Canis lupus familiaris: one gene and its partners. The protein of the gene in region 3 binds, or shares a complex with, the protein of the main gene of each other region. Links are inferred from orthologs where the notes say so. Each region holds a gene or a part of one and is shown on either strand. Other genes may lie near its edges.

Region 1 (7,740 bases), on a different chromosome or scaffold from region 3:
ACCAAAAAAAAAAAAAAAAAAGTGCAAAGACAACCCACGGAATAGGAGAAAATTTTTGCAGATCATATATCTGATCAGGTGCTCACTTCAGCAGCACATACATATTTGATCAGGGTCTTGCATCCAGAATATATAAAAAATACTCTTTACAATTTAACAAGACAACTCAGTGAAAAAAATAGGCAAAGGATCTGAGTAGGCATAGTTACACAAATGGCTAATAAACACATGAAAAGATCAACATCATTGGTCATTATGGAAATGCAAATCAAAACCATAATGATACCAATTCACACCTACTAGGAGATGGCTAAAACAAAAAAGATGATAAAGACTTGGCAAGAATGTGGAGAAACTGCAACCCATAACCTACTGCTGGGATTTTAAATTAGTGTGGCCACTCTGAAAAACAGCTTGGCAGTTCTTCAAACTGTTCTATGACACAGACATAGGTATAGATCCAAGAGAACTGAATATGTATATCCACATAAAAACGTGTATACAAATGTCCATAGTAGTATTATTCATGATTTCCAAAATGTGGAAACAACCCAAATGTCCATCATTGTACTATTTAAGTGTGTTATGGGTTGAACTGTGCCTGCCCCCACACACACCAAAAAAAGATATGTTGATATCCTAAACACCAGTACCCCAGAGTGTGGCCTTCTTTGGAAAGAGGATCTTTGCAGATGTAATTAGGTAAAATGAGGTCATACTGGAGTAGGGTGGGCTCCTAATTCAATGACTGGTATCCTTATATGATGGCCATGTAAGATATGGCACACAGGAAGAATGCAATGTAACAAGAAAGACACTGGGGTTATGCAGCTATAAGCCAAAGAATGCCAAAGGTTGCCAGCAAACCACCAGAATCTAGGAAGGAATGAAGGATTCTTCTCTATAGGTTTCAGAGAGAGTATGGCCCTGTCAACACCTTAATTTCAGATTTCTAGCCCCTAGAACTGTAAGATAATAAATTCCTAATGTTTTAAGCCACACAGTTCATAGCATTCTGTTATGGCAGCCCTAGGAAACTAACTTGCCATATAATGGAATATCATTCAGCCCTAAAAAGGAATTAAGTACTGATATATGCTACAACATGGACAAACCTTGAAGACATTACGCTAAGCAAAAGAAACCAGACACGAGACTATATATTACAGGATTCCATTCATATGAAATGGCCAGGATAGGTAAATCTATAGAGAGAGTTTACTAGTGATTGCCTAATGCTGGGAGGGTGGGGGAAGGATGTGAAAGGAGTGGAGAGAAAATGCTAAGTGCGTGCTAATGGATACAGGGTTTCTTTTGGAGGTGATGAAAATGTTCTACAATTAATTATAGTGATGGCTGCGTAACTCTGTGAACATACTAAAAACTACTGAATTATACATTTTCAGTGGGTGAATTGTACAGTATGTGAATTTTATCACAATAAAGCTGCTTTTCAAAAAAAATTAAGAAAGTAGTTAACAGAGTGATATTACAGAGAGGAAGGGATGGGGATACCTGAAATAAAGCATTAGAGAAGGGTGGTTGCAAAAAGTAATGTGTGACATTTGAGCTAAAACTTGAAGGATGAGAACAGCTGGGAGAAGAGCATTCCAGAGGGAATGGTTCAAATGTTCTAAGTCAGAATGAGCCTGGCATATTTGACGGACAAAAAGATGAATATGGCTACAGTTTAAGTAAGGTAGAGAGAGGCATGGGATGAAGTTGGTTGAGAGACAGGGGCTAGACAGTGTGTTAATTCTATAAAAATTACAAGCAAAGTAACTACTATAAAATCGCAGGCAACTTTATTTCATCTCCAGCCCTCAATATGCACCTTTAAGCCCCAACAGGCTTATATAATAATAGTTATTTCATAAATATCTATAAACATAACAATTAGTCATATATGTCCGTTCTGAAAGTTACCTGAAACCCTTGGGTCTGGGCCAGCACTGCCATTAGCAACAGAAAATCTCAGATAAAGGTCAGTCCAAATTCATCCCTAGGCCAAGAGTTTCAGGTCTTGAAGGCATAATCATAGCCAAAGCCAGATTCTAGGTCTGTCAAAAGTAGCCCACATAAAGCCAAATCAACCGATTCTAGTTATCAGGAATTTTCTAAGATTCATGGAACATTGCCTGACTCAAAGAAAGCTCCCATGACTCAAAAAATTGGGGAAAAAAAAAAATCAGACCACTTTAGGAATAAATTGAACTAAATGAGTATTTAACTCAATATATATGCTCTCAGCCTATTTACCAATTCCTCCTCTTGGGATAGAGACAAGATTTTTAAGAAATTTTGGAAGTTAATTCAAAAGCTTGCCTTTTCCCTTTTGGCCTCAAGTTGAACTACAAGTTTCAGCAAGCAAAGGTGATAAAGCAAAAGTTCAAGAAAGGCAATGCTCTGCATCATCCTGAACACTCCCATTTTAGTTCATTTAAATAGTCCTCCCCAGTACACCTGTTGACCTCATTATGAAAGTACTTCACTAACACCCAGATGTGGGCCTAAGGAGCACATGTGAAAATGTAACGAAGATACAAGATGACAAGCATACAAAATCTGAGAAGTAGCCCGTTTAATAAATTTGAAGTAACAAAATGATGTTAACCAGAGGCCAAGGCTACTAATAAATCCAGCAAATATACAACCACATATTTGTATATAAGTCCACCTATCTCCTAAATAAATACAAATTTAGTGAAAGGTAGTAAAAATAGTATTCTTTCCTATTTTCCAGGGGAAAAAAAAATTCTTTTTTTTTTTTTTTTTTAATTTTATTTATGATAGTCACACACACAGAGAGAGAAAGAGAGGCAGAGACACAGGCAGAGGGAGAAGCAGGCTCCATGCACCGGGAGCCCGACGTGGGATTCGATTCCAGGTCTCCATGATCCCGCCCTGGGCCAAAGGCAGGCGCCAAACCGCTGCACCACCCAGGGATCCCGAAAAAAAAATTTCTAACCTCAAGGCTATCTGCAAAGCTTAAAACAAAGCAAAACAAAACAAACAAAACACACACACACACAACTCCAGTGTGAATAAAAATCGTAGTAAATTGTACTTACTGTTTGGCCTGGTTAACATGAACCCCTAGTGTATAGCTCAGCCATTTGTATGTCACCTGCAAGAAGAAGGAGTTGGTTTTTAAGTGTTAAAAAACATTAATGACATTAACATTAAATGATTCCAGCGTGCAGGTTAGTCCCAGGGGCTCCTAAAGATTCCTACTCTCAGATGATTGTGCCTTATAAATTACAGCGGATGCCACCCTAGTTTTGCCAAGAACAGTCCATCTGGGTAGGTAGGACTGAGATATTTATCTTACACTAAAAAGTCTGTTTCACAGGCTAATTAATACAAAAGTCTAAAATGAAAGGCTGAATATACATACAAAGAAAAAGCTCGCATTTTCCTCACATTCTTTGTTTTACCCTTTATTCACACTGTCCTTTTTTGTGGCCACCACTGATAACTATTAAAATTCACCCAGAAGCTAGATTACTTTGCAGTGTATGACATAAACGTCTAAGGAAAAGCTGCAGCCGTGCCTGTTTGCTAATGCAAACATTAGCAGGCACAGGTGGTGCAGGGGCCAGGGAATTAAAGAAGTGGATGGGGGCAGCCCGGGTTGGCGCAGCGGTTTAGCGCCGCCTTCAGCCCAGGGCCTGATCCTGGAGACCTGGGATCGAATCCTATGTGGGGCTCCCTGCATGGAGCCTGCTTCTCTCTCTGCCTGTGTCTCTGCCTCTCTCTCTAATAAATAATAAAACAAAATATTAAAAAAAAAAAAAGAAGTGGACGAATGCTGTATTTGGGGTTAGACTGGAATCCACTGGCATCAAGCCTTGGTCTTCCTTCCATCCTTCCTTGAACTCTCTTGTCAAATGTCACTTCCTTGGATGCTCCTCACCTCTTAGAAGTCTTCCAATTCTAAATGCCGAGTTTCCAATAATTAAGAACATAGGTGAGGCGAAAGCATTAGTAAAAGAGACAGATCTAGGTTGGAAAACTGCCTATCCTTCACTAACTACAAGTAAGTAATGTGGTTCCTCTGCTTCAAGTATAGGGATACGTCCGGCGCCCTTTGGGGTCGCTGTAAAGATTAAATGCAATACTGTACATCCCAGGCTCACAGCAGGCATTCAATCGTCACGGTTGTAAAGTCCACTCGCATTCATCTTCTCAATCTTTCATTCCAACCCTGAGGGGGCTGGTCAAGCCTACGAATACCAAATTTCCTAGCGGAGGAAACTGACGGTTGAAAGGTGAAACAACTAGTCACCTAACCCAATCACGGCACAATTCTTCAACAGTCAACTTGGGGCTTTAAACCATTTCACCTCATCGGACAGACGCAGAAACACCTCAGAATTGTTATCTACCAGGGCCCTTCCCTCCACGCCTGTTCTTGGCCTCTGCTCCTTGCACAGCACCCGGCACGCCCAACCCAAGCGACGCGGACTAGCGCGCGCCAGAGGAATTCCCCCTGCGAGCCCCCGTGAGCCCTCGCGAGCCCTGGGGCACCAGACGTGGGGACCCGTCGCCCCTCGGCCAGTCCCCACCAGGCCAAGCGCAGAGGGGTCAAGGCCCCTGCCGCCCTCAGGACTCCAGTCTCCTGCCCACATTCCCCAGTCCTAGCTCCTCACGATCTTGTTCTGGTCCGTGACGAACTCGTCTATATTTTCCAGATAAAGCTGGTCCGCCATCGTGCGGCACAGCTGCGAGCCCCGCCACCACAAACGCAGCTCCCGCCGGCGGGAAACGTCTTTCCTCTCTCCCGGGTCCGGGGTCGTTTCCCACAGCAACGGAGGCGACGCGCTACGGCGGCCGCCCGAGGGTCAAACTAGTGACGGAGACGGCGCCGGCTCAAGTAGGCGGAGCTAGTAGGTAGGAGCCAACGCAAGCGCGGACTAGGAACCTGCGCGGGACCTGGGGAGGGTGTTTCTGGAGCCCTGGTTTTAAATCTCCCGTCTGCAATTTAATGCCTGACCCAAAGCAAAATACCTCCTCGTAGGAGCCACAGCCTTACCACCTGTAAATTGATAACATAATCCTTGCCCTTTCATACCTTTATTCAAAAAATGCTTATCAACTACCTACCTATTCCGGGCACTGCTTAGATGCTGGGGACACAGCGGTGAATGATCCAGACAGAAATAAGCCAGTAATTTTAGTAGAGTGATGGCAGCTGGAATGAAGTACTCCTGGTTATAATCCCTCAGAATTGAGAAATTAGGGGTGGCTTTCCAGAAGGGATGGGATAAGAGAAATGTTTCAGATAGAAGCAAGAGCATTTGCTGGGAAGAAAAGAAAACACCTAGATTTGGAATCTAAATCTTTAGGTAAATGGTGGTGCATTTGACTACTGAACTGTGGAAGACTGAGAGAAAGAGCAGATGAAGAAAATCAAAGAATTCTCTATGGCCACAGTTATAATGGAGAAAACATATAAAACCCTCACACCATGCCTGTACACAATAAAATTAATAGCAGTTGGGTTATATTACTATACACAGGGTACACTGTATTAGGTGCTTTGAGAGTGAGATTTCATTTACTCCCTAGAGCAACCCTTCAAATGGATTGTGTTTGTCCATATTTTATAGAGTAGATTGCTGAAATTTAAGAGAGGAAAGATGAATTTTCGAGGTCACAGGGTTGGACGGTAGTGCTGGGATAGGAATTCAAGTTTCTTTTCATTGTTCCACAGGGATGGGAAGAAAGTCAAGATAATTGACCAGATTCTTGACGCTATCCCCATGCCAAAGGGAGCAAATGATAATACTATATAGAATACTTGACCCAACATGGCCCTAGGTATACCAGTATTAAAAGGTTGTGTGATGTTTAGAAGCCAGATTAGTGGTTAACCTTGAGACGCCTACCCAGCTTGAACATTCCTACCTCAGGGAAGAGGAGCTGAATGGAAGACATGTGGGCTTTGGAAATATATTTTTCTTTTAAAAAGGAAGCAAACAAACAAAAACCTGGGATTGAATCCCAGCTTTACCACTTCCTAGCAGTATGGCTGTAGGCAAATCACTTAACGTCTCTAGTCCTCAATTTCATGATCTTTAAAAGATGGGACAATAGAACGCAGTGGTATACTAATAAATGTTTAACAGCCAAATTTAAAAAGCCCTGATTTGTAGTGGTTGACAACATCTGTGATGTGTATACTGCCATCACAGCAGACTTCAAACTCCTGATAGTGACATCACTGAACACAGGTAGAGACACACAATATCACACAATTACTTCCACAATACATGTAGAATAAACAAATAACCTCAAGAGCATATATGGCAGTAAAATAATTAGGAAGTGGTTATATTGAATATTTGTTGTCTTTGTTTTTAATGATTTAATTATAAATTTATAGTTTAATTTTTAACTGTGGCTCTCCTGAAAAATTAATAAAAGGAAACCTAGTTTGGGGTCAGCATGGGGAGCTCTCAGGGCCTATCATTCCTTGTCAATTACCAACTCAACAGGCCATGTTCTGTGCCTGGGGCATCTGCAATGTAAAATTAACTCCTTATTCCAGGCATTGGGAACATCTTTCCTATTTGAAATGTAACCAGCAAATCTCCAAAAGGGAAAAGTACCACCATTTCTACCTCTACCAGGAAGGGAGGGAGGAAGGAAGGGAAGGAGGGAGGGAGGGCACCTGAGTAGCTCAGTGTTTGAGCATCTGCCTTTGGCTCAGGTGGTGATCCTGGGATTGAGTCCTGCATGGGGCTTCCCCGCAGGGAGCCTGCTTCTCTGCCTGTGTCTCTGCCTCTCTCCATGTGTCTCTCTTGAATAAATAAATAAAATCTTAAAAAAAGAAAAAAAGAATTCAGTCCCTCTTCCTTAAAGATGAAGCTTCACATCAATGTCAAAAACAAGAGCAGTTCTCCAGGAATCAGAAAAACCAACTAAAGCATTTCCTAAGCACATGAGGCCAGACAAAACTTGGAGATGGTAGTGTCAGCTGATACCAGAAGTGAGAGCCATAGGATCAAGATTCTCAGCCTTCATGTTTCAAAGAGGTTGATGTTAGAAGACGGACATTCCTATTTCCTCCTTTTCATCCCCACTTCATCCCAGAAATGATTGGCATAAGAAAATCTAATGATTGTGACAAGGCATGGGATGGGAAATCTAGCCTGGACCCAATATTGGGGAAAACATGAAGAGTAGTCAACCCCTGCAGGCAGGACCCCCAGACTAAAAGTAGGGGAAAGAGGCCAGGCTTCTGACCAGGAAATGGGGCCTGTGGGAGCAGCTCAGGAGCACAACCAGCTGGCTGGGCTATGGGGCCTCAAATCGCTGGGGGTCCACAATGGTCATTCCAGAGTCCTGGGGATCCAGAACTTATTAACACTAAGGTATTTAGCATTAGATCATTCATACATTCATTCATCAAACATTATTCAAGGCCTCCTGTCTATCAGGCCCTGTGTGACAATGGGAACACAGCATGCTCTTCATCTCTGGGAGTTTAGTCTGTGGGGAGTAAACAGCTTCCTCTGTGAGGAAGCACAGAGTGCCATAGAAACCTGGGAAAGGCAATTAACCCAACCTAGGGATCAGAATAAATGTGGGGAAAACTGGATTTAGGTATCTAGGACTAGGTAGCACGTATCCTTTCACTTTAGGTGAAATATATAAGAAATGAAATCAGAGTACTGTCATCACAGCTTCTTACATGCACAACAAGCCAATATAAAAAGAGCTACTTTATGAGAA
Region 2 (7,993 bases), on a different chromosome or scaffold from region 3:
AGGGTCTCTCTAACACGTGCTGCCCTCTCCTTCCTGAGGACTCAGTATCCATACCACACCTAGTTGCCCCAACATAGCCTGTGTATTACATTGGTTTGTTTTTAACTTTCCCTGCAGTTAGATCTCTGTTTAGCAGCACCCTGAGCCACCTGGGGCTGGGGATGGTGGTGCAGGTGCAGGGCGATGCAGTAGGGAAGGCAACCCTGGCTGAGAGTCCTGCCCTAGGGTTTCCTGACTGAGCAAGTCTCAGCCTCAGTTTCCTTATCTGTGAACCATGGCTGAATACTTACCTAATGACAGTGCTCTGAGTCACTCTGGTCAAACAGCAGCCCAGCAGATGGCATGGAGGGCCCTTAGTAAACATCAGACCCCTCCCAGCTGCACGAGGCTCTCAGCAAACAGATTCTCAAATGTTCCCACTGATACCATACCTTCCCACCCGCATCTACTCCCACATCCTTGGCCTCCCTTCCTGTCACGCTGGATGCTCCTACCTGAGGCCACCCTCTCCCTGGGCCCTGGGCCCAGCCCTTGTCTCTCTCACAAAGGCCTCACTCATAACACCCACCTTTGTCTCCTGTGGCAACGGTCCCCTCCCTGTTGGCTCACTCTCTCACTGTGTGATCATGCTGTAGTGTCACTCTATCCAAAACAAAAGACAAAATGACACATCAAAACCCCTCCCTTGAGGGGCGCCTGGGTGACCCAGTCAGTTAAGGGACAAACTCTTTTTTTTAAAAGATTTTATTTATTTATTCATGAGACACTCACACACACACACAGAGGCGGAGACACAGACACAGGTAGAGGGAGAAGCAGGCTGCATGCAGGGAGCCCGACATGGGACTCGATCCTGGGTCTCCAGGATCACACCCTGGGCTGCAGGCGGCACCAAACCGCTGCGCCACTGGGGCTACCCCCTCTGGCACACTCTTATACTGGCACTCATGGAAACTTCTTGTCCCCAGTGACCTCTGCATTGCCAAGTCCAGCATTCTGCCCTCAGGCTTCATTTTACAAGCCTCTCCAAAGCATCTGAGACCCTGGAGTACCTCCTGCCCAGGCCTCCCAGGCCCATGCCTCCAGATTTTCCTCCAGCCCCACCACCTTCCTTCTCCGTCGCCTTCTCCCTCTCCTCTAAGCATAGAAAGTGTAGGCTCATCCTTGGACCCCTCAGGTAACCTCAGTCACATTCTGGGCTCTAAACATCATCAAAAAATGCCGATGTTTACATTCTCAAATTCCGAGCTCGCGAGAATTCTAGGCTTGAGTATCCACCACCTACTCCCCAGCTCTGCTTGGGTGTCAAGTGTGAACTCCTGATTCCCCAGCATCCCCTGCCCCTCACATGGTCTTTCCCACCTTAGTCATGGGAGCTTTGGCTTTCCAGCTGCTCAGGCCAAAACCTTTGGAGTTCTCTCCTTGGCACCTCTCAGACCCACAGCCGACTGATCTCCCAACCCTGGTCCAAATCACCATCGCCTCTCTCGAGGCCAACCCCAAAAGCCTCCTGAGTGGTTTTGCTGCCTCTTCTTTCCCTCACCCCAGGAACTGTTCTCCACCAACAGCCAGAGTGATGTTTTCAACACAGAAGCTTGATTATGTCATTCATTGGCTTACAACTCACCAATGTCTTCTGTCTCACTCCGATTAAAATCCAGATTCCTTATCTCAGCCTGAAAGGCCTGTGGGATCGACCTGTTACCTCTCTGGCCTCATTTCCCAGCATACTCCTCTTGCTCCCTCTGCCGTGGGTGCACTGGCCTGCACGCTGTTCCTGGACCAGGGTGTAAACACTCCTATCTTGGGAAGTATGCTTGGTATTCCTCTGTCCAGAGCTCTCCCATAGGTGCCAGTCCCATTCCTATATTTCATTCAGATCTCTGCTGAGATCCCACCGTGTCAGAGAGCTTCCCTGATCAACCTCTCCAAGCAGCCCCGGCATTCTTTGATCTCTATCCCTAATTTTGCCTACCACTGACCACCACATGGCTGATTACCACATACAGGTAATATTTACCTGTATGTCTTCTTTTGTCTCCTCACCACTAACAACACCCAGGAGGACCTCTAGAGCCCGGCATACAGCAAGTACCCAGCAGATGGGCAGGGGCATGGCTGTAGACATGAAGAGCCTGGTGCACATGGCCTCTCATCTCTGCACCACCACCAGCCTGCCAGTACTGCCGAGCAACCCCACACAGCTTTTCTGAGCTTCAGGCTCCTTCTCTATAAAATCTACCTTAACAGCCCTTTAGGAACGTTAGAGATGATTCATTTAAGATCCTTGAGGCACGGGTAGTGGCGAGTACAGTGGGGGCTAGAGAGGCCACTTGGCTGCTCTATAGGCCTGTCCCCAAGGAGTTAATAGCAGTGCTGTCTCTGCCCAGGATGCAGAGCTGGACAGCCAGTAAAGATAAACACAGAGTGAGGAACACGGACTCCATTCTCCATATGATACCATCCCAGGGGCCCCTAAACATTGTTTCTGCTCTACCCAGTTCCCCCACCAAAGCCCACCAGATGATGGCCATCTCTGAGCAGGACCTGCAGGTTGAGAACCTCCTCAACCCTGCTTTGGATCCAGGTGGCCCCAGTGTGGGAAGCAGAGGTGCTTGGCGGGAATGTGTAGGTTTGGACCTTATGAGGTGTGAACCCTATGGATTCTCCTCTGACAAAGGACCCATTTTTGTGAGGTGGGCCACACTGGGCAGGCTAGGTAGCCGGTCAGGTCCGTTTTCTCTGGCTGGTCTTCGAAGGTGACTAGAGTTGTTTCCCTGTCCACCACCAGGGGGCGCCAGAGGCTGATCAGCTCTAATGTGGACTTGTCCCATGGTCTTTTAAGGTGTCTTTCTTCTGGCCAAGGTCTAGGCCTGGGCAGCAAAGGGAAAGCATAGTTCTGGTTCTCTCCCACCTGTCAGCTTCGGCTTGCTGGTTGCTGGCAGCCCACTCAGGGCCACATTAAGGGACTGGAGGTTAGGCTTCCAGACTCAGTGTTCTTTATTGATAAGCATTAGGAACCCCTTGCCAGTTCTGCCCTTAGATTCCCAGCTTTGAGTAGGGAGTGCATCTTTGCCTCTTAGACATCTGCCTGAGTCTAGCTGTGTCCAAGGCTGTGCTTATTTGCCACACTGTTCCCAGGACCACAGTTTTTATGGTTGAAGAGGTGTGTAGCAGGCATCCGAGGGTCATGGCCAAGTCTTTATCCTCAGAGACAACTTTCCATGTAGGAAGTATAAGCTTCAGCTGTGTTGGCTCTCAGAGGGAGCTCCAGGAGCCTGCTGGTTAGATGGAGGGCTGAGCCTCAGAGACCTCCAGATTCAGCCTCTTTTCTCTATAAGATTCTTTTCCTGCTAAAGGTTCTTCACGGCAGAACTGAGCCAAGGGGGCAGCAACTGGCTCTCACTTGTGTCTTGAGGTCCTGGGATAGTGGGCAGGAAGTCTTAAGTGGTACCTCACAGGGGATAGAGATGCCAGAGGCTGTGCAAAGGAAGGGGTGGGGGCAGAGAAACCAGAGAGAGACAATTAAGTCCTTGATCTGATTTCACCAGCCCCAATTCTTGGCCATGGCTTATTGTCCCTGGCCAACCCCTCTGTACTAAATAGATAGTCCCTTGGGTCCTGGGTGCACTCTTACCCCACCATTAGCTCAGAGATAAGGATTATTAAAGCAATGTTCTGCTTTCCTGAGCCAAGCACCTTGGAGATCACCTTCTTGCCTGTTCAGCAAAGCCCCAAAGCCCACATTCATTTCTTCCTCAGGTCAGGGCAGTCCCCACCCTGCGGGCCAGCAGGCTGGTGGTGCCTGATGAAACCCCTGGCTCCCCTGAAAGCCCTCCTGGCCTGTCTCTGACCTGCACTGGAAGCGGGGATCTCCAGGGTGGGTCTGTAGCACCTGACGCACTTCTGGGGGAGGCTCCAAGCCCATCTGCTCCGCCCGATGCCAGCGCTGCAACCGTGTGATCCCTGCCGGGGTGAGAAGACGACACTGGCACCTCATGGGGGGTGGGGAGGAGTTCAGGCTGGAGAATGTGTATGGAGGGGTGTGTCAGGGCCTCCACACCCCCTAGTCTCGGGAGACAGTGCCCGAGAGGGTCAGGCAGGGGCGTGGGTTGCTTCAGGGACCTGCAGGTGACAGGACTGTCTCCAGGATGTGTTCCTGGGGCCTGAGAGGGTTCTCACCTGTGCAGGGCCCATACTGCCAGGCGAGATCAAACTGCCTCAGCAGCTCCAGCTCTGCTTCATCCACGCTCAGGGGCTGGGGCTCTTCCCCTGCAATGACACGCGGCTCCTCAGGCCTGCCCCCGGCCTCGCAGCTGCCCCACTGCTCCCCGGCCCTCACCAGCCCTTTGCCTCTGCCGGCCACTGCCAGGCCTGCAGTAGGAAGTAGAGGACATGTTTCACTTCCCCTCGCAGCACCCCCGTCCGCCCGCGTCCTCGCAAGCCCCTCGCTGGTGTCCAGTGCTCCCGCCCCCCGCACGCGGAAGAGACCTAGCTCCGGTGCCAGCTCCCCCTTGCTGTGCCCAGCGGGGCCCTCCCCCCTCTTCACTACGGGGTAGGAGTCAGTGATGAGCCGCTTCCGGCCCATGGCGGCCACCCAAGCAGGCGGAGAAGGAGGCGGCTGCGGGAAGGAGAGGCCAGCGGGCACGAGAGAGACAGCTGCTGAGAGAGAGAGGGAGAGAGGAGAGGAGAGGGCTGGGGCCAGCGGGCGAGCCCGGGGCCAGCGGCCGGCAGACAGGGCGACCCAGACAAGCCGAGAGGAAGTTCGCCGGTTCCAGGGAATGACGCGCGGCCCCCGCCCCCGCAGGCGCACAAACAGCAGAGACCCAAGCCAATGGTTGGCCGCCTCTGCGGGGCGGGGCCCGACGCCAGCCAATGGCAGGCGGCGGAGGCCGAGGGGGCGGGGCGCCGGCCGCAGCTGTGCTCCGGGAGAAGGGGTGAGGCTGGGTGGGGGACCTGTCGGGACGCCCCAGACTGCGCCTCCTCCTGCTGCCCCCCCGTCGGGCCGCAGCGGGCCTCGGGGGACTAATAGAGCGTTATCCTCGGCCTCTCACTTCCCGTTTTCCCTTCCTAGGCAAATGTTCTTTTCAGCCTCAGTAATCCCCGTGGCCGCTCGCTAACTCCCTAGAGTCCAGCTGGAGCCTCCACTCCCACCCCCCGTCCCGCAGAGCCTTGTGGGGGCAGGTCTGGAGGTCCGCGGAGCGTTGGGCTGATCCAGCCCCTTCCTTCCCAGCTCCCACCCCACCCCCACCGGCCCCAGGAGACCCGGCTGGAGAAGCCCTTGGGTTCCAAAGCTCCTTTCTCACAGTCTGTGCCCAAAGACCCTGCCCACTCTCAGTCCAGGCAAGCGTTGGCCTCGTCGACTCTCCTGGGGTCAGTACGCGCCCATGCCCACCCTGCTAGTCAGGAAGATTCCACACTGAGCAGGAGGCCAGCGTGCTTGTAGCCCCACTTTTTTTTTTTTTTTTATCAGTAAAATCTGCCCTGTCTCACCAATGTGACAGTAAGAGCAGAAAATACCAACCATAAACTAAACACTTACATGGCACTTACGGTGTGCCAAGTACTGTTCTCAGCACTTTCCCACATACTCACTCAACTAAAATAGATGTAAAATGAATGGTTCCTTAAAAAAAAAAAAAAAAAAAAAAGTTCTTTTTTTTTTTTTTAAGTAATCTTTACCCCTCAACGTGGGGCTTGAGCTCATGACCCGAGATCAAGAGTTGGGTGCTCCACAGACGAGACAGCCAGGGGCCCCATAAAATGGTTTTTGAAAGTAGGAAGTGCTGATCATCACAGGCATTGTGGGGCCCCAGTTAAATCACGGGCCCTCTGTGCCCTCTCCACAGAGGAGCTCAGAGGCTAACAGGGTAGGCAGATGGGACACACAAGTTGTCAATGCAAGGACAAAATTACTAAGAAACAGGAAAGGGGAGAAGGGTGGGTCAGAGAGGACTTGGACCACAGCGTTAGCTTAACACTGGAAGACCTCCTGGAGGAGGCGGGCTGCTGTAAACAGTGTCTCTCAATTCTCCACCCATGACCTTTGTCCCTTGGGCTCCTGTCATCGCTGAGTCACCCCTGCACCCGCCTCCCCCTCACCAACTTCCTGGCAGCAGGCAAAAGTGCTGGTCAGTGGGAGTCTGGGAATCAGCACAGGGACCAGCCCAGCTCTAACTGCCCTTTAGAGATCCTATCTGGTTCTTCCAGGAGTACAAGGGTCCACTCAGAAGTTTCTGTCTACAACCTCATCCAACTGCTCTGGGCTCTGGGTGCTCTAAGATACAAGTAAGGTGGGCGTAAGAGAGGAAAAGCTCTGGAGAGGAGACCACCAAAGGGAAGGAGCAAGAGCAGCCATGTCTTCAACGGCCTCCTCCTGCCTGGCTCTCCCTATCCACTTCCTTGAGGAGGGCTGAGTGGGAGTCAGAGCTCATGAATGTACTGCACAGAGCTGGAGGGCCCTTCCCTGCTTTATTTTCTGGGCTGGGCCTGGCCTAATCCCCCATCTGCCTCATGGACTAAGTGGGGCCCATATGGAGGGAGACAGGGGCCTGGTGCACTGGGGAGGAACACAGGAGGCCTCTCTACCAGGCCCAGGAAGGGCTGAGGTGCAGTGTCCAGTCAGGCACTGAACACTCTACAGAGGGACGGTGCCCAGGCTCCTCTCCCCAGAGGGTGTTCCCAGAGGTGTGTGGCACCTCACTCCCGAGTCCACAGAGCCCTGAGGGAGTAGGAAGCCATGGGTGGGGCAGACCCCTCCTCATTCCTGATCCTTCCCACCCCTGAAAGCTGATAGCCGTGGGGCCCTGCCACCGCCCAGGGAGCGTGAAATGGGGTGTGCCGCTGGGCGGCCACAGTGGCTCCTACTGCCGCCCGAGCTCATTCCCTCTCTCCTCTGGCACCCTGACCTGCTCTGTGGGCACTGCCTGGGCATCCTGCCAGCTGCCCCCAGCTCTGCCTGGCCCGGGCCAGGCTAGCCTCTCCCACCTGGCCTGGAAGATGTCCCCCCAGTCCCGGGGAAGAATCAGGGTTGTCAACTCAAGTGCAGGCGCCCGAAGGCTGGGTTTCTCCCCTGGAGTCCAGAGAACTCTCCACAGGCAGCATTGCCCTCCTGTCCTAGTCAGACAATAGTGAGACTGAGTGCCCCCTGGGAGCTTTGGAGCCACCCCTGTCAAATAGACATCCTTCCCCAACTCCGTATCTCACCAAGTTGATCCCTGGGGTGTGCCGGCCACTAGAACCTGGGCCTGCCCATCCTCAGGTCTTTTCCTTCTCCACTCGTCCAACCCCGTCTGCCTCCTCTCACCTTTCTTCCTGGAACCCCTTTCCCTACTCAGGCAGCCTCCTGGCCTGTCCCCAAAACTGCTGTCACATGGGGACTATCACAAGTCAGGCTTCAGGCTGGAGGGCCAGGCCAGAGGTCTGAGTTGGGAGCTACCTTCTCCCTGGGTCAGGGAGTTTCCTGAGACCCAGGAGCCTGTTTCTGTGTCAGCTCTGACCCCCAGAGGCTGGTGATGGGACTGGCAGGAGTGACCTTTGCACCTGGGCCTGGGAACACTCAAAGGGCTTGCCTGCCAACATCTCCGGAGAACCCAGGAGAAAAACAGAGCAAAGAATTGGAACAGGAGCCCAGCACCTTCCTGAAGGCTGAGGCCCACTGCCTACTGCTCCAAGGGGAAGGGGGATTAGGCCTGGCTTAGCTCAATGTGGCAGGGTGGGGGGGCCTCAGCATTGCGCAGGCGCAGGCGCCCTGGGAGCCCCTTCCCCCTCCCCCTGCTCAGAATAGGGCTTGTGGAGAGAGCCAGCTCCAGCTAGGAAGGTGGGGGCAGGTAGAGGGAAGGAAGCAGCTGCCTGGGGCCCAACAGGCTATGGGGCGTAGCCTGCTGTCCTCCTTCTTCCCAGCACCCCCCTTTCTTCAGGCCTTCAGGCCCTGCCACCCACCCTGAGCTGGAGATTCTGGGCAGCCAGACTCATATCCCCAGCCCCCACATAT
Region 3 (6,159 bases):
GCGAAGGCAGGCCGTGCACGCACGCTATGTGGTTCGTGGGCGCCACCGCGGCCGTGGAAGGGGAGTGGGAGCCAGCGACGGTGCACCTGCGGGCAGGCTCTCAGCCCTTCCTGGGACTTGGGGTTCGAGTCCCTGAGATGCGGAGCCTTGGAGCAGAGGACAGACGGGTGTCTGTTTTATTTTTATTTAAAATAGGCTTATTATTTCCTGGTAGCTTATGTAAGAGTAAGAAGAGTAGGGCTGTCCTGAGTGTGTGCGAGGGGGCAGGGGCGGAGGGGCAGGGGCGGGGGGCGGGGGGGCAGGGGCGGCCAGCCAGAGATGTGAGGCAGGCAACAGATGCTCCAGGCGAGAGAGGCATCATCTGGCTTTCCTTGTCTCCCTGTTTGGATGAGGCGTCCGAGCTGAAGCCCTGGTGCCCAGCACGGTTAATGTGCTGTCCTGGGCCACGTGTGGTGTGGGCTGCAGTGGGGATGCAGGGGGGAAGCCAGGGGGTGCGCAGGGTTGCAGGGATCCGTCTGTGTTTTCACAGGGATCTGGACACCTCAAGCACGGTCATGTTTTCTGAGCAGGCTGCCCAGAGGGCCCACACACTACTGTCCCCACCATCAGCCAGCAATGCCACCTTTGCCCGCGTGCCTGTATCCACGTACACCAACTCCTCTCAGTCCTTCAGGCTGGGAGAACGCAGCTTCAGCCGGCAGTACGCCCACATTTATGCCACCCGTCTCCTCCAGATGAGGCCCTTCCTGGTGAGCCGGGCCCAGCAGCACTGGGGTAAGTGACGTGTTCCGGGAAGTGCTTCCTCCCCAGCTGCCCAGAGGGCCCTGAGCTTTCCCTAGAAGCCTTGGGAGAGTCAGCCTCTTCGAGCCTTCACTTCTTGTTCGTAACAAATCCTTGTTACGAGGATTAAATGAAGGAATTGGTGGTTTTCAAGGGAGGCTAGGTGAGCTGAGGCTTAGTTCTGGCAGGAACAGTGATCGTGTCATTGCTGTAGGGATGTCCTGTGTGCTGGCGATGTGCTTGTGTGCGCACACGTGGCCAGCCAGTATGTCAGCATGCAGACCAGGAACCGGGCCCTGGGGGCCAAGGTCCACAAACACCTGCGTCCCCCCGGGGGGGCTCCCTGAGTGCTCACTATGTCTTCTGCTGCCCCTCCGGGCCCTCCGTCCTGGTCGGGCACGAATCTCCCCTCCCTTGGGCTCCTCTGTCTTTCCTAACCCAGGGGCCTGGGCAGGGTGACGTCTTCTTTCTCCACCTCCTTCGTCCTCCACCTCTCCTCTCACATGATTCCCCCCGGGGGAACAGGACGCGTGCCTTCACCTTTCTGGGGCCGCGTTCCCCGTCTCACTGTGGATCCAAGTGGCTCTCCGTGCCAAGTTCAGTTCATCTGAAATGTTTATGGGGAGAACCGTGTTACCCCTCCACATCTGTTGGTCCCAGCCTTGGCCTCCCCGGCTCCAGGTCCGGTCGCGACTGTGGGGAGCAGTGGTGCTCAGGCCCATCCCACACCAGCGACAGACTCGACCCTGGTTTATTACAGGCCGTGAAGACAGCCAGACCTCAGGTATGTTAGGGACGTTTTCTCTTATCTCTGCAGAAGGGATGGTGCTGTTCACGTGTTCTCTGCCACGTAATGAGGGTCTCTTTCCTGTGGCTCCCTATGGCCTTCCTCACTTTTCTTGAAGTCCTTGGGGACCTTCCCCAGGCCCGTGTCACTGTTCTGGTGCAGGTTTCTCTTCCAGCCCCACCGCTGCTGACAACTGCCTGGTGACAGGCCCCCGGTCCCCTTTGGCCCTCACAGACAGTCAGGAGCTCACACAGTGGCCCGTGATGAGTGGAGCTTTGGCTGGATGATGGCCAGCGGCCAACTGTAGGCCTGCCAGCCTGGTGTGGGTGCCGGCTTCCCCACATGACCAGGGACTTCAGCCTGTCTGGGACTCGTTTCTCTCTCTCTCTCTCTCTCTCTCTCTCTCTCTCTCTCTCTCTCTCCCCCTGAACACACCAAGCTCTTTCTTCCTATTGATACTCCCTTCCCCTGGCATGCTCTTCCTCCGTCTTCCCTCATGACCTCCAGTGTCATGGGTTTCAAGAGGCCACAATAGCCACCGGGGCTTTCTCATTACCTTCCGCCTTGGCTCCTTTGTGTCTGCAGCACCTGTCACAGTGGCTGATCCCTCGCTGACTGCTGTCGTCTCTCCCTCTTGGGGTTGTAAGCTTGGTGAGGGTGAGGACAGGCTGTGCTGTCCACTCTGATTCTGGTGCCCGGCCCGGTGCCCACATGCTGTCCAGCCAGACAGAGGTCCTGCCCTCCACACAGGGATGCGTGGTTCTCCCCGGTGCTTGAACGGGCACCTTCCATCCCAGCTGTGCAACTTTGGGTGCGTCCCTTAGCCTCTCAGTGCCTCTGTTGCCTCAAGCACACGGTGAGCAGTAAGGCCTACTCTGGCGTGTTGGCAGGCGTGGGTAGGTTCCAGGGACAGGGCTCAGTGCTGCCCCCAGGGGCTGAGTGAGGGCTCAGCAGACAGGCTTTGGGTCTGTTTCTGTGGCATTGGCATATCTTTCTGCTGCTGGCGCCTCCTTATCTTGTTTGGAATGACTAGCCTCCACTTCCCAGGGTGTAGATCTGTGGAATGTTCTTGGTTATTCTGGGCAGAAGGGGCTCATGCTAAGGGCAGCTGGGCTTAGGAAGGGGCCAGTCCTGCTGCTGCATTATCCCTTCTGCTTCAGGCAGACTTTACTCCAGGCCCAGCGTCTTGACGGACAAACCCACCAGCCTTCCTCTTGCCTGCCTGGGGGAGCCCTGCACATCGTGCCTCTCTAAAGCTTTCAGGGGAAGGCTGGACTGAGACTGGGCATGCTTCTAAGAACTCACGATATAACTTAGGGATAAGTGACGTAATACTCTGTATAAGGTCCCTAGTTGGTCTCTGCTATCACAGACAACCCAGCAGCTTGAACCACAGAAATCTATTCTGCGTCCGTTCTGGAGACCGGAGCTCTGAATCCAGGTGCTGGCAGGGCCACTCCCTCCACAGGCTGTCCGGGGGACCTCTTCCTCGGCTCTTCTAGTTTCTGGTGGCTGCCCGCTTTCCTGCATGTCTGCCTATCTTACGAGGACATGGGACACGGGGGCCCAGCCACATCCCTTTGTCCTGGGGTCGAGTCTGTTAGTGTCGGGGGTGTCCTTGCACCTCCAGAGGCTGGGCCGCAGGCTGCAGTGCTGGGTGAGGCTGTTACGGCGCCCCGAGGAGGGCCAGGAGGGCTGCCGGGTCTCTGAGCATGTGTCTGTCACACCCAGGTGATGGAATCCAAATAAAGAAGCTATGTGAGCTGCAGCCTGGGGAGAAATGCTGTGTGGTGGGGACCCTCTTCAAGGCCATGCCACTTCAGCCATCCATCCTCCGGGAGATCAGCGAAGAGGTGAGGCTGGCCAGCTCCTGCAGGGGGCACCAGGAGGGCCACCTGTAGTGGACACAGAGATCAGGGCTGGGCCTCTGCCCCCTGGGGTGTGGGATGCAGTGACATCTCACCTATGTGGTTTGGGAGCCTCCGGCCCCAACACCACCCCCATCTCTGAATTCCAGCACAACCTGCTGCCGCAGCCTCCTCGGAGCAAGTACATCCATCCCGACGACCAGCTGGTCTTGGAAGATGAACTACAGCGCATTAAGCTGGAAGGCAGCATTGACGCGTCAAAGCTGGTCACAGGTGGGGCAGTGGGCTGTGCCTGTGGTGCTACTGCATTCCTGCCTCCCTAGAATGATGGCTGTAGGGGCAGGCAGTGTGTGAGGCTCCAGAAGGGGGTCAGTGGTTCCAGCCTCCACCCAGAGGCAGTAACCCCAGGAAGCAGGTGCTCAGGCCCAAGTCTTCAGTGAGAGTTTTCCCACATGGCAGAAGGAAACTGGCTGGCTTTGCCCCTGAGTGCCTGAAGGAGGGGGTAGCCTCTTGGGCTTCCCTCCTGGAGCCTGACACCGCTGCCCCCTAGGGACAGTGCTGGCTGTGCTTGGCTCTGTGAGAGACAGCGGGAAGTTCCTGGTGGAGGACCATTGCTTTGCAGAGCTTGCTCCTCAGAAGCCCGCACCCACCCTGGACACAGACAGGTGACGAGCAGGCGCTCAGGGGCCTGGCCAGTGGTCCAGGGGAATCACATGTGCTGGGCTCCGTGTCCCCAGCTCACCTGTGACCGTGGCAGAGCCTGCAAGGGGCCGGGCGGCGGGGTCACCTGCTCTCGGCACCCAGGAGGACCCTGACTTCTCCCACAGGTTTGTGCTGCTGGTGTCTGGCCTGGGCCTGGGCGGAGGCGGGGGTGAGAGCCTGCTGGGCACCCAGCTGCTGGTGGACGTGGTGACAGGGCAGCTGGGGGACGAGGGAGAGCAGTGTAGCGCCGCCCATGTGTCCCGGGTCATCCTCGCCGGGAACCTCCTGAGCCACAATACCCAGAGCAGAGATTCCATCAACAAGGTACAGCCCCACCCGTGGGGGCCTTGAGACGGGGCCCACCCATTCAAGCCCCTGCTTCTCCAGGGAGAGTTGGGGTGCAGGGGTCTCGCGTGTCTCTTGGCAGGGGCCCTACAATGATTCAGGCCCTGCTTTCTGAGGGCGGGGGGGCCCGTGGCACAGAACTCTTTCTGTCCCCTAGCTGTGGGGTCTTGCTCTGCTCTCCGCTGCCCAGGCAGAGCTCTGAGTGTCTCTTTGATCTGAACCTCTCTTGGGGCCTGACAGCCTATGGACTTCTATCCCCAGGCCAAGTACTTAACCAAGAAAACCCAGGCAGCCAGCGTGGAGGCGGTCAAAATGTTGGATGAGATCCTCCTGCAACTGAGTGTGAGCGAGCCAGCGGCTGGCCAGTGATGAGATTGGAGCCTCTGAGGCTGGGGTCGGGCACCGGAAGGCGGGCTGGGGGAGCAGAAGGGGTGATCCCCAGGGGCTGTGTATGGAGGGCGCTGGGCCCTGCAAGCTCCCCTGCCCCTGTGCCCCCAGGCATCGGTACCCGTGGACGTGATGCCAGGCGAATTTGACCCAACCAACTACACACTCCCTCAGCAGCCCCTGCACCCCTGCATGTTCCCACTGGCCACTGCCTATTCCACCCTCCAGCTGGTCACCAATCCCTACCAAGCCACCATCGATGGAGTCAGGTAGCCACCTGCAGCCACACCCCAGTCTGACCCCTGGCACTGTGCCTCCGTGGCACTGGGAGGGAGGCTTTGAATCAGGCTGCAGAGGGCCCAGTGGATCTGGACTCTTTCTCTAAGTCAGCTTGGGACACCAGCCGTGAGAGTGCTGGGTGAGCTCTGGGCTGGCTCCTGGGGGGCAGGGGTGGCAGCCCCCAGAGTAGGGACCAGCTGAGCCTTGCCTTGCAGATTCCTAGGGACATCGGGACAAAACGTGAGTGACATTTTCCGGTACAGTAGCATGGAGGATCACTTGGAGATCCTGGAGTGGACCCTGCGCATCCGTCACATCAGCCCCACAGCCCCTGATACGCTAGGTACTGGGACTCAGCCACGTGGGGTGGGGCCAGAGGGCCAAGGGAGTCCTGATCCGGGGCCTTGACACCCAGAGGGTTTGCAGCATGGATTGCACTCACCAGTCCTGCCGTGACCTAAGGGATAGTCCAAAAGCTTGACACCAGATCTGGAAGCTTCTCTGGAATCAGCTCTGTGTGTCGCCATGGCCCTGTGTAGGGCAGAAGGCTGTGGGGAGCACATTAGGAGCACAGTGCCACAGACCCGCCTAGCAGGGCACCCTCAGCACATGCTAACCTGACTCCGGGGCCCTGGGGCAGTGTCTGGAGGCATTTTTGTTGTCCAGAAGGGCAGGGCTGCTACAGCATAGCCTGAGCGAGTATGAACAGGCAGGAGTGGGTCCACACCCTGTGTGCACAGCTGCACCCTGACCCTGCGCCGCGAAGGGCTAGGCCCCAGCCACTGCGGGTTTTCTCTAGGTTGCTACCCCTTCTATAAGAACGACCCGTTCATCTTTCCGGACTGCCCTCACGTCTACTTTTGTGGGAACACCCCCCAGTTTGGCTCTAAAATTTTCCGAGGTGAGTCTTCTGGGGACCCCAGGCCTGGGGGGACTATCACAAGGGACTCTTTCCTGGGGACAGGGCTCACAGAGAAGGCCTCACTGGAGTCCCCAGGCCCCCTGGGGTTG

The links. The genes of interacting proteins can lie anywhere in the genome.
Region 1: POLD2 (region 3) and POLD3 share a complex: the UniProt entries of both Homo sapiens proteins name them as parts of the both the DNA polymerase delta and DNA polymerase zeta complex. The link is inferred for Canis lupus familiaris from reciprocal best matches to the Homo sapiens genes POLD2 and POLD3.
Region 2: POLD2 (region 3) and DNA polymerase delta subunit 4 share a complex: the UniProt entries of both Homo sapiens proteins name them as parts of the tetrameric DNA polymerase delta complex. The link is inferred for Canis lupus familiaris from reciprocal best matches to the Homo sapiens genes POLD2 and POLD4.

What each region holds. Positions count from the first base shown.
Region 1 is NC_049242.1:23,912,050-23,919,789, forward strand, and holds the start of POLD3 (DNA polymerase delta subunit 3), read right to left. Parts: upstream 4,808-7,740; 5' UTR 4,713-4,807; coding exon 4,653-4,712; intron 4,483-4,652; exon of another isoform or gene 4,289-4,482; intron 4,038-4,288; exon of another isoform or gene 3,917-4,037; intron 3,128-3,916; coding exon 3,072-3,127; intron 1-3,071. UniProt on the Homo sapiens protein: Accessory component of both the DNA polymerase delta complex and the DNA polymerase zeta complex.
Region 2 is NC_049239.1:50,602,240-50,610,232, reverse strand, and holds DNA polymerase delta subunit 4, read right to left. Parts: upstream 4,808-7,993; 5' UTR 4,589-4,807; coding exon 4,492-4,588; intron 4,273-4,491; coding exon 4,183-4,272; intron 3,967-4,182; coding exon 3,855-3,966; intron 3,481-3,854; coding exon 3,456-3,480; 3' UTR 2,429-3,455; downstream 1-2,428. UniProt on the Homo sapiens protein: As a component of the tetrameric DNA polymerase delta complex (Pol-delta4), plays a role in high fidelity genome replication and repair.
Region 3 is NC_049237.1:14,412,129-14,418,287, forward strand, and holds part of POLD2 (DNA polymerase delta subunit 2), read left to right. Parts: intron 1-529; coding exon 530-774; intron 775-834; exon of another isoform or gene 835-1,392; coding exon of another isoform or gene 1,393-1,564; intron 1,565-3,298; coding exon 3,299-3,420; intron 3,421-3,584; coding exon 3,585-3,708; intron 3,709-3,985; coding exon 3,986-4,100; intron 4,101-4,262; coding exon 4,263-4,461; intron 4,462-4,743; coding exon 4,744-4,824; intron 4,825-4,980; coding exon 4,981-5,138; intron 5,139-5,363; coding exon 5,364-5,491; intron 5,492-5,947; coding exon 5,948-6,049; intron 6,050-6,159. UniProt on the Homo sapiens protein: Accessory component of both the DNA polymerase delta complex and the DNA polymerase zeta complex.